Arabidopsis thaliana: one gene and its partner. The protein of the gene in region 1 interacts with the protein of each later gene in a pairwise test. Each region holds a gene or a part of one and is shown on either strand. Other genes may lie near its edges.

Region 1 (5,779 bases):
TTCAGGTGGAAGGTAAAGTGGATAGAGGAGAGGTTGAGAGAGCTGTGAAGAGGTTGATCGTGGATGACGAAGGTGCGGGGATGCGAGAGAGAGCCCTTGTTCTGAAAGAGAAGATCAAAGCCTCTGTCAGTAGTGGAGGCGCCTCATACAACGCATTGGAAGATATTGTCAATTACTTGAAGACAAAGCAAAGATGTTGAACTTCATGTAATATTAATTGAATTGTTGCAAAATTTGCAAAGTGTGGTTTCTTTTGTATCACTCTTGGCAGTTTGCTCAATATAGAATTGTTGCATCACAATAAACATCTTTTCTTTTGTCTTTGATTACTACTCTCTCTAACAAAATAAAGAGATGTAACTACTTGCGTACACCATCGACCACATGCTTCACATGTGCGCAAAGAGAGCTAACAAAACATTATACGGATGAATTAGTGTCCACAAGCGAGAATCTGATATTTATATATATAAAACGTTCAAAGAAGATGAGAAGCAGAGTAATCTATAAGCCCGGAGCTTAGAGAGCTACTTATTAGTTTTCTTGTAGGTTTTGGAAATGGAGGAAAAGCAGGTTTCTTAGTAACAGTAGCTTCCGCCCTATAAACAAGTAGAAAACATATGTATCAACTACATTGTGAAAAGGGCTCCACAGAAGGAAGTACTTGCTCATCCTGCAATAGGGGCGTTTTGGAGCCATAAAGGATGCAACTCGATACTAGAAAACATGATCAGCGAAGGAGTTCCGGTGATTTGCAGGCCATTTTCGGGTGAACGCAAGGTACTTGGAGTGTGTTTGGAAAATTGGGATTCAAGTGGAGGGTGATCTAGAAAGAGGAGCGGTCGAGAGAGCTGTGAAGAGGTTAACGGTTTTCGAAGAAGGAGAGGAAATGAGAAAGAGAGCCGTCACTTTGAAGGAGGAGCTGAGAGCCTCTGTTAGAGGTGGAGGTTCTTTACACAACTCGCTAAAGGAGTTTGAACACTTCATGATGACTCTATGAAGACAATTACTTGTGTGGATGTTAAGAAATCTATGTACTTTTCTATTCTAGAAGAATCTCGCTACTATTAAATAAGATAATCAAGGTCTGAAGATAAGGTTGTCACTGAATGTATGATGTGCAGAGAAACAATCATATATTAATGAAAATTATGAACATATATTGGAGATGAAAAGGTCTTGAAATTATTATCTAAATCTCAAAGTAGAACCCTAAGTGGCTGAAACCTATGTCAGCAAGAAACATTGGAAAGACTTTTGCTTTTGTTAAAATGTCACTTTCTTCCTTTTGTTGGACGTTCATTGGTATGTGGCTCTCCAATCACTCGTAAGGTCATCATATGAGGAATACTTGATTGTATTAAAATGGCTTCTTCTGAAACATTTGATTGGTTTATAAATTTTTAAAATAAAGTTTGTGTCTGACGCCATCTCTCACAGAAATAAACAATTCACTCTCTTGATTACCACTTTAAGAAGTCTGCAGACAAATAAAACAAAGGGACTTACCTCTTACAAGATAGAAAAATGAGTATATGAAATTTGTCTGCAGTCTTCTCTTGGTTTAGCTTCTACATGATACTTTGTATGATCCTCTCCTGAACAGATGCAATTTGGGACTTTGCGGTGGAAAACTCCGCAAAAGATAAGAAATTTTGTAGACACCAAGAACCTGTAACAACAATCAAATATGATCAAGACCTGCAAAAGATGCAGAACCCAAACATAAAAGAGAAACTGCTCATTCTACCTAAAAGCTTGCACAGGTAATATCTTGTCTAGATCAAAAAACATCACAAGACTTTCCCAATGAGGAAACCAAAACCAAAATAACATGACACTATCACTTCTGCAAAAAGAGTACACAAGAAAATGTCGAGCCACATGACACATATGCTCTCTTGGATTTGACATAACTCACAGTGTTAGTTACCTAGTCCCGAAGAGAAAATTAAACACATGGTTTTCAAAACCACCATATAATTCCGAAGATGAATCAAACATGATCTGGATTACATTAAGTCTCAAGTCACATGAGAGCAATTTTGATACTTAATTCTCAATAACATTTCAACATAGCACAAGAATCTCAAAATCAAATTCAACTTAGTTGATTATATTAACTCTGTCAACATCACCAAACAAGTGATTATTAAGACTTTATTGTATACCATTTATAGTAAAAGACAGAAACTTGATGAAAATTTCGATCAAATCGAGTAAGAATTATAACTGTACTGTACTTAAAAAAACAGAAACTTGACAATAATTATCAGTTCCACGAGCAATAACAAGCTCACCTATCTCTTCCTCCCCCATTGAATCCATCTATAGACTCTTTTTAATTCTCATTTGCGCTTCCACCTCCAACAGAAGGATAAGAAGCCATGGATCCAAACTTATTCTGCTGCATCATATAAGGATTTGACTCAAACGCACCATTTCCACCAGCTCCATGATGATGACGATGATTCTGATGATAAGGATCATGATTATGATTTTGATGATGATATCCTTGCATACCCATATGATGTGCATAAACTGGCATCTGCATCATCTGTTGCGTTCCATACGCCCCCGGAATCGGCACTCCAACATTACCGCTGCTACCGCCACCGCCACCGATATCTTGGAAGCTCTGTGGAGGAACAGGTGTTGAAGAGAAGAGCTTATCCGAAGCAGAGGGACCTTCATTAGTCAATCCCTGCATCCTTTTGAGGTAAAGCCTATACTTTTGAAGATGAGACGCAACGTTCTCACGAGTTAATCCTTCAACGTTCATCAGCTGCATAATCGTCTTCGGAACAGCGTTTTTGATCCCTAAGTGAGCTACAACGTCAACGAATCTCTTGTGTAGCTGCGGTGTCCACACTAAACGCGGTCGTTTAAGTGTTTTCCCAGATAGATCTTCAGTTCCTGAATCTCCTTCTTCCGCCGCCATCGCCGAATCCGGATCCACACCGCCACCGTCATCTCCATCACCGTTTGATGTCTTTTGCTTCTTCGAATCCGATCCAGGACTGCTAGATCCAACTCGATCTTCCTCCTCCACGTTATTATTCGACGACGAGGTATTTGGACCTGAAGATCCACCACGTAGCGACGAGAGCGTCGTCTCCGATGCACGATTCACATCCTGAATCGTACGGCTTCTCTCCGGTGTGATACTAAACGCCATCGCCAAATTCGGTGGAATCAGAGAGTAAGAAAGAGATGCTAGATCTTCGTCGCTTGGTAATCCCATCTCCCATTCAGAAACCCTATCTCCGTCGCCGGAAACATCGTAATCGCTCATTTGTACTTCCTCTCCCATTTCAAACTCTCTAATTTCTCGAAATTCAGTTAGAGATTGAGCTCTTCGAAGCTCAAAATCGATAAAAATTCAAATCTGAGATCGGAGAAGAAGAGAAGTTTGGTTTGTGAAGATGATGAGCAAACAATTTTTTTTTTTTTTTTTTTCAGAAGTGAAACAATTTCGAAAAAGAGAAGATTATCACTTGTTTTATATTTTTCTTTTCCAGGAAAAAGCGCAATATTTTAATTCCAACGTGGACGAGTTAGCTAGATATTTTAGATCTTCTAAATATCTTTTCAAACCGACCTAACCAATCTCTTTTCAACACGTCATCAGTTCACATTATGTATCAATAGTTACGATCTAGGTGATTGAAATTGAAATTACCAAACTAGGCACGTAAGATGGAGCCACGTGGAGTGAAAAGAGCCAAGTCAGCTATTTGTGAGGGTTTTTCAGTAAATTACTACCGACTTAGCAAGTTGTGTTTGCGGGCCTAGAGAGAAAGTGGGCAAAACCGGTGGGTTCGGCCAGCTGGAGAGTGAAAAGAGGAGAAAGATTCGGTGATGAGTATCTACAGTACTGACACGCAATGTGATCTTTCCACCGTTGGATTGTTGTTTTAGATATTTATAGAAGCATATAAAGATCAATCTAACGGCACAGATTGGCTGGCACCTAACTTTTAAGAAAATGAAAATAATTATTGTGGAAAGGCTCAGAGAGGTTTAGTTACTCTGTTTAGCTTCTTCAACGTCACGGGTTCGATGCCCCAACTTCACAAACTGACGAAACGTTATCTTCTTCTCAAATTTCTGATTCTCTGAGATTTCCCCAATTTTTCATCTTCTTCGAGTGATTAGTACAGATTAGGGTTTTATTCGTTATTATTGTCTATATTACTCCTTGATTGTGGTCGATGACCTCGCTACTTCTTCTCAGAACGCTTCCGCTTCTCCGCAACGGATTTCTCAACCATCGTCATCAAGTTGGTATCGTAGCTGGTGGAATTCTCAGTCACCGTCGGCGTTTGTTGTGTTCTCTTGCTGATAGACCACAGTTTTACGAGAATAATGATTCTGTTTCTCCGGTGGAGGGATCCGGCGCGGCGGCGATGAACGTGACATCGCCTGTTGTTGATAATAGCTGGCGTTATGAAGATCCTGATTATCGGAAATGGAAGAATCTAGAGGCTGAGATTCTTCGAGATATTGAACCTATTTCTCTTCTCGCTAAAGAAATTCTTCATTCCGATAGGTAATTTCTTCAAATTCTTGCTGATTGTTCTTCAATAGCTGTTCCATGTTTGGATTAGTATTGAAGGTATAGGCTCATAGCTTCTTCCAGTAGCTTAATCAAACAACATAGAGACACCATATGGCCTTTTGAGGTGACTATTACACATGATGATATTCTTGGCTTATTGTTGAGGATCCTTTAGCAATGGATGATAGGATTATAGTGGTCATTGCAGAAAGTGAGAGATGCTCTTGTATATATCTTCAGTTTACTTGAACATTAGGCAAATTACAACTTTTTTCTAGTGAACTATTGACATTTGAAGCTAGCTTCAGAGCATACTTGCTGTTTTCTTTGTGTAGATTACTTTTTGCAGTTCTAGTGAGCTGTTTTTTTTTTCCTTTTTGGTAAGCAGGTATTTGGATGGAGAACGCTTAGATTTTGAGGATGAGAAAATTGTCATGGAAAAGCTTCTTCCTTATCACCCATATTCCAAAGACAAAATTGGTTGTGGTCTTGATTTTATAATGGTACGTAAATTCGAGCTAACCCGATATCTCTCTCTTTAAGCTCTACTCATATAGAAATTATCTTGAGGTATTGTGCATAGTTCTCGAATCACCATGATAGATATATGACTTACTTACATGCTCTATCCATAAATCTTCATTTGCTTTATGTGCATGGACTTATGAGTGTGCTACTTTGTTACTGGCAGGTTGATCGGCATCCACAATTCAGGCACTCAAGATGCCTCTTTGTTGTGAGAACAGATGGTGGATGGATAGATTTCTCGTACCAAAAGTGTCTTCGAGCCTATGTTCGAGATAAGTACCCGTCTCACGCTGAGAGGTTTATTCGTGAACATTTTAAGCGTGCTAGTAGCTAAAAATCTGTATAACTGTCCCACTCATCATCACAGCAAATTCTCATAAATTTTTAGCTGAAATAACACAATCAGCTATGAAGCTTTGTTGTACAAAATTTATAAATTGCTCAATCTATTGGAAGACTTGAATGAGTTAGGAAAATAGTAGTTGGTTCAGACTGCAGAACAATCAATTTTTGAGACCGAAAGTAATTCTAGTTATGGAATACAATATTTGCATGTTGTAAAATCTTTTTAGCTGAAACTTCGAACATCCTTTGCAAGTAAAAATATTGTCACTTCAAACTTTCGAAGTAGCTAGAGAATTTCCAAAGTCTAAACTGTCAGAGAGCAAAGCCCAAAATGAACAATCTCAA
Region 2 (4,528 bases), about 14 Mb from region 1:
ATTCCCTGAGTTGCGAATCATTGACATATCACATAATCACTTCAATGGAACTTTGCCAACAGAGTACTTTGTGAAGTGGAGTGCTATGTCATCACTTGGAAAAAACGAAGACCAGTCTAACGAAAAGTACATGGGATCAGGCCTTTACTACCAAGATTCAATGGTTTTGATGAATAAAGGTTTAGCGATGGAGCTGGTACGTATTCTAACAATCTACACAGCACTCGACTTTTCCGGAAACAAATTTGAAGGAGAGATTCCAAAGTCCATTGGTCTATTGAAAGAGCTTCTCGTGCTCAACTTGTCAAACAATGCTTTTGGTGGCCACATCCCATCATCTATGGGGAACCTGACAGCTCTCGAGTCATTGGACGTTTCCCAGAACAAGCTTACAGGAGAGATTCCACAAGAGCTAGGGGACCTTTCGTTCCTTGCGTATATGAACTTCTCTCATAACCAGCTTGCAGGCCTAGTACCAGGAGGTACGCAGTTTCGAAGGCAAAATTGCTCTGCCTTTGAGAATAACCTGGGACTTTTTGGCCCTTCTCTTGACGAAGTCTGCAGAGATAAACATACGCCAGCATCACAACAGAATGAAACGACAGAAACAGAGGAAGAAGACGAAGAAGAGATAAGCTGGATAGCAGCCGCAATAGGATTCATACCTGGAATTGTCTTTGGATTAACGATTGGATACATATTGGTTTCCTACAAACCAGAGTGGTTCATGAACCCTTTTGGCCGAAACAATCGTCGACGCAGAAACACCACCACCCACTAGAGAGGTAATGTTCCGACTTTTGAACGAGTTTGGTAGCTTTCCATCAGAATGAATTTTATTTCTGTTTTAACAACTTATTTTCGTTGTTATAGGCTTATAACCTATCTGAATAATCTGGAAGAGGAAAGTCAAAGTAACCGGACGAACTCCTTGACGTTAACCAACCACTCTTTTAGCCATTTTCAAATCCAGATTGTTTCCGGTTTAGCTTGTGTTTTTCTCTTCTACTCTGTTTTTAGCCAACTTTGTAATTGAACAACTCTGTTTTTCGCTCTTTAGATGTACATGTAAAGTTGTTTTTTCCCGCGAGTTTGTTGTTATCATTTCTTTCCCCATTGCACTCTCGTATCTAAAAATGTATGTCTATTTGTTCGTATCAATTAAGACGCAGAAATACAGAGCAATTATAGAATTGGGGAATATTTGATCAAAAAGCCATTTTTACTGTATTTTGATAAACTAAACCTTATACATGGATATATTTGAAGTCAGTTGTGTCTGGTTCTTTATTAGACATTTATCTGCTATTTTGCAGCAGCAAGCTGTTTCATTCTCGACATTTTCAAGTAGTTTATACGAGAATGGAGAAGTGTGTTTTGATGATGAGTTTTTGGGTTTTTGGTAATGGCTTAAGGAAAGGGAGTGATTATATGCTAAGCTCTGTGAACTACTAGAAAAGTTTAGGTAAGCCTATGGGATTATAATCCATAGTGGAAAAGGAATGGAAAGCATTACATATTACGATTTAATTTATGAAATGACAAGATAAGAAGATTTAATTAAGTAAATGACAATTCTTTTTAAGTTGCTACTAGCAATTTCTTTAAACCATTACTTGTTTGTATATTTATACTCATTCACAAAGGTTAAGAGATAACAATATTATCGTTTTGTGTACTCATTATAAAGGTTAAAAGATTTAAGGTCCTTAAGATTTATGAATATTTGATTTAACAAAAGAAATTTTAAGTTTTGAGTTAAGTTTTTCTTGTTATTGGTATAAATTCACAACCAAAATGAATGATGAGTAGAAGAGGAAGCCAAAGAAAGAAGAGAAAATGGATAGTGAAGGGGACGGTGGTGATGGTGGTGGGCTTCTCATTCTCTCACTTTTCTTGTCAAATGTCTTGTCTTCTCCATTTCCACACTCCAATTTTTATATGCTACCTGTGATTTTATTTATTTTATTATTTGACTTTCTTTTGCTTAAGCTATGTATAATCTACAATAAGAACCACAAAAAGTGATATAAGCTCAGTTCTATATTGGTGCCCACTTTGTAAGAAATTTCCTCTTCAATTTGGAGCAAAGTGAAAGCTATTTTGTATTTTGCTTGATTGACTTGTTTCCACTAATCCAAAAGTCTTGCTTCTCTTGTTTCTTCTTCTATAAAAGAGAAAATTAGCTGATGTGTTGTTACTTTAACTCTCTCTATCTCTATAGTACCTTTGATTTTTCAATATATGATTATGATTTATGGACTCGAACTCACGACCAATCATGTAATTAGCAAGGAAAAGCTCAAAGCCAACACAAATGATGAATAGGCCCATGCCTTGTCCCATTTGTTTCCTTCTCTCTATTACTTTCAAAAACACTCTTCTTCACAAAAAGTTAAAAGACTCTTATCAATATATAAAGGAAGCACGAGATAAAACTTAGAAAAAACGAGAGCCTAACATTTACCACCAAAAAATCAAAACAAACAAACAAAAAGTTTGAGATGAGAGGGCATGAGCCACGATCAAGCTCATCTTGTGCAGCCTGCAAGCTCTTGAAGAGACGATGCACACCCACTTGCATTTTCGCTCCTTATTTCCGCTCAAGTGACTTGATAACTTTCGCCAAAGTCCATAAAGTCTTTGGAGCCAGCAACGTCAGTAAGCTTCTCGGTGAAGTTCCTGAAGAACAGAGACAAGAAACCGTTAACTCCTTGGCTTATGAAGCTGAGGTTCGTCTCAAGGATCCTGTTTACGGTTGCATTGGAGCCATAGCGTCTCTGCAGAAGAAGATGCTCGAGCTTCAACACGATCTAGCTGTTGCTCGCACTCGACTACTTGCCCATTCTGGGGTCAACAACAGCCAAGTGTCCCCTTTGGATGATTCTCCTGAGCTTGCTGCTTTTCTTGATCTTGTACCTTATAGTGACTTGATGTTGCTTGATGGGTCTACTAATCTTGATGCTTACTTGTATGATCTTGGACAGCCTCCTTTTGTATAGGCCTTATCTCTCTATCATATATCTCTTTATCAGCTGTATTTGCACTTTGCTTTACAAGTTATCTTTGACAATCTAAAGTCTGTCCCTAATGTATGAATTCCAGTATGCATAATCAGATGCTTACTTCATCATATGTATGAAAAAGGGTTTTAACTTCAAAAGTAACCATCACATGCGATGAGATAACTCAGGTACAAGATGAGCCTTGGAAGGTCAGAGTCCTTACCAGTTTTGGACCAAGTGGTAGGCCAAGGTGAGTAAAGTGAGGTGTTTTAGATGAAGAGCTTCTTTGTAAGTCAGGTATGAATAGGAGAGCACATGCTTATGTCATCCCGAAATTCTACCAAACATGAAACATTGATATATATGCTTCTATGATGTTCTTTTTTGAGGCTCCAATAATACAGCCTCATGTGTCAACTCGTCTCCCTCAGGCCACAAGAGTCTTGTCCTGGAGATTCCAGAGTGCAGCAAAGTCACATAAGCAAACATCCAAATCAATAGCTTGGTGGGTTTGATCAAATTCCAAACTGAATTATGAATGACTCTGATAAGAGTTCTCCTCAGAACCGTTCTACGCATCTTGTTAAGTCTGTACACATTCCTGAAACCTGCCTAAGCAAAAGAGTAATTGCAGATCACAGAAAGAGAGATGAGCACAATTTGGAACTGCAGACACTGATACACAAACCATCATACATTGATACTTCACAAAAGTACATCTTGATATGTCAGATACTATGAGAGTTCTTTTGGTAATTCGCATTGCTACTACCAATGTAACTCTACAATGCTAAAAAAGAGAATGAAAAAGAAGAAGAAGAAAAAAAGCATCGCGCTATAACTTAAGAAAACCTAAAGATCAATAATAATAACATCTTCTCCAAATCGTATGAGCTTTAGATCCAACCATTGCTCCTTGCTTCACATCAGTAACTCCTCCACAATCTACAATCCTACAACTTCTTACCTATACAACAAACAAAGCACAACTGAAGTTTCAGTAAACTCATCAATCACAACAAAACACACATAAAAATGAAAACTTTACCTGAAGCAGCTCTTCGTTTCCCAAGTTTAGATTTCTCAAGCTCCAATTGCATCTCCATCAACATATTCATTCGTTGTAACTCAAGCTCCTTTGCAACTTCCATTCTCTGTTTCTCCAATTCAATCATCATCTGTTGCTTCTTCCCCTCGATTCTCTCAAACGCTTCCCCTAACTTCAGAATCGATCTCGCTAGCTCCCTAAAGGCTGATCCTTCACTCGAATCTACATCTTCAACTTTACGATGCTTCCTCACCACAAATCCCCAATCACCCGCATCATCATCATCTTCTTCGTCGTCATCATCATCATCATCATCGTCATCGAGAGAGCTACCAGTTGATTTAGATCCAGTAGGATTCAAATTAGGGTTCATCAACGCCGATTTAACAACAGCACCGGACGATTTCTTCATAACCGGACCGATTAAGAAATCGAGTCTATCAAAGAAGCACCAATTCGATAAAGGTTTCGCCTT

The links. Proteins that work in one complex are often made in the same cells at the same time.
Region 2: the proteins of PCL1 (region 1) and LBD21 interact in a two-hybrid assay, tested with the Arabidopsis thaliana proteins (one large-scale study listed by BioGRID).

What each region holds. Positions count from the first base shown.
Region 1 is NC_003074.8:17,180,782-17,186,560, reverse strand, and holds PCL1 (Homeodomain-like superfamily protein), read right to left. Parts: upstream 3,492-5,779; 5' UTR 3,314-3,491; coding exon 2,440-3,313; coding exon of another isoform or gene 2,342-2,439; exon of another isoform or gene 1,675-2,341; intron 1,673-1,674; coding exon 1,572-1,672; 3' UTR 1,510-1,571; exon of another isoform or gene 1,376-1,509; 3' UTR 1,207-1,375; downstream 1-1,206. Other genes in the region: AT3G46650 (UDP-Glycosyltransferase superfamily protein), read left to right, coding at 781-1,000; AT3G46630 (DCL protein (DUF3223)), read left to right, coding at 4,215-4,552, 4,950-5,064, 5,253-5,423. UniProt on the Arabidopsis thaliana protein: Transcription factor that is essential for the generation of the circadian clock oscillation. Is necessary for activation of CCA1 and LHY expression.
Region 2 is NC_003074.8:3,472,532-3,477,059, forward strand, and holds LBD21 (LOB domain-containing protein 21), read left to right. Parts: upstream 1-2,390; 5' UTR 2,391-2,504; coding exon 2,505-3,002; 3' UTR 3,003-3,317; downstream 3,318-4,528. Other genes in the region: RLP35 (receptor like protein 35), read left to right, coding at 1-781; AT3G11100 (sequence-specific DNA binding transcription factor), read right to left, coding at 3,959-3,972, 4,054-4,528.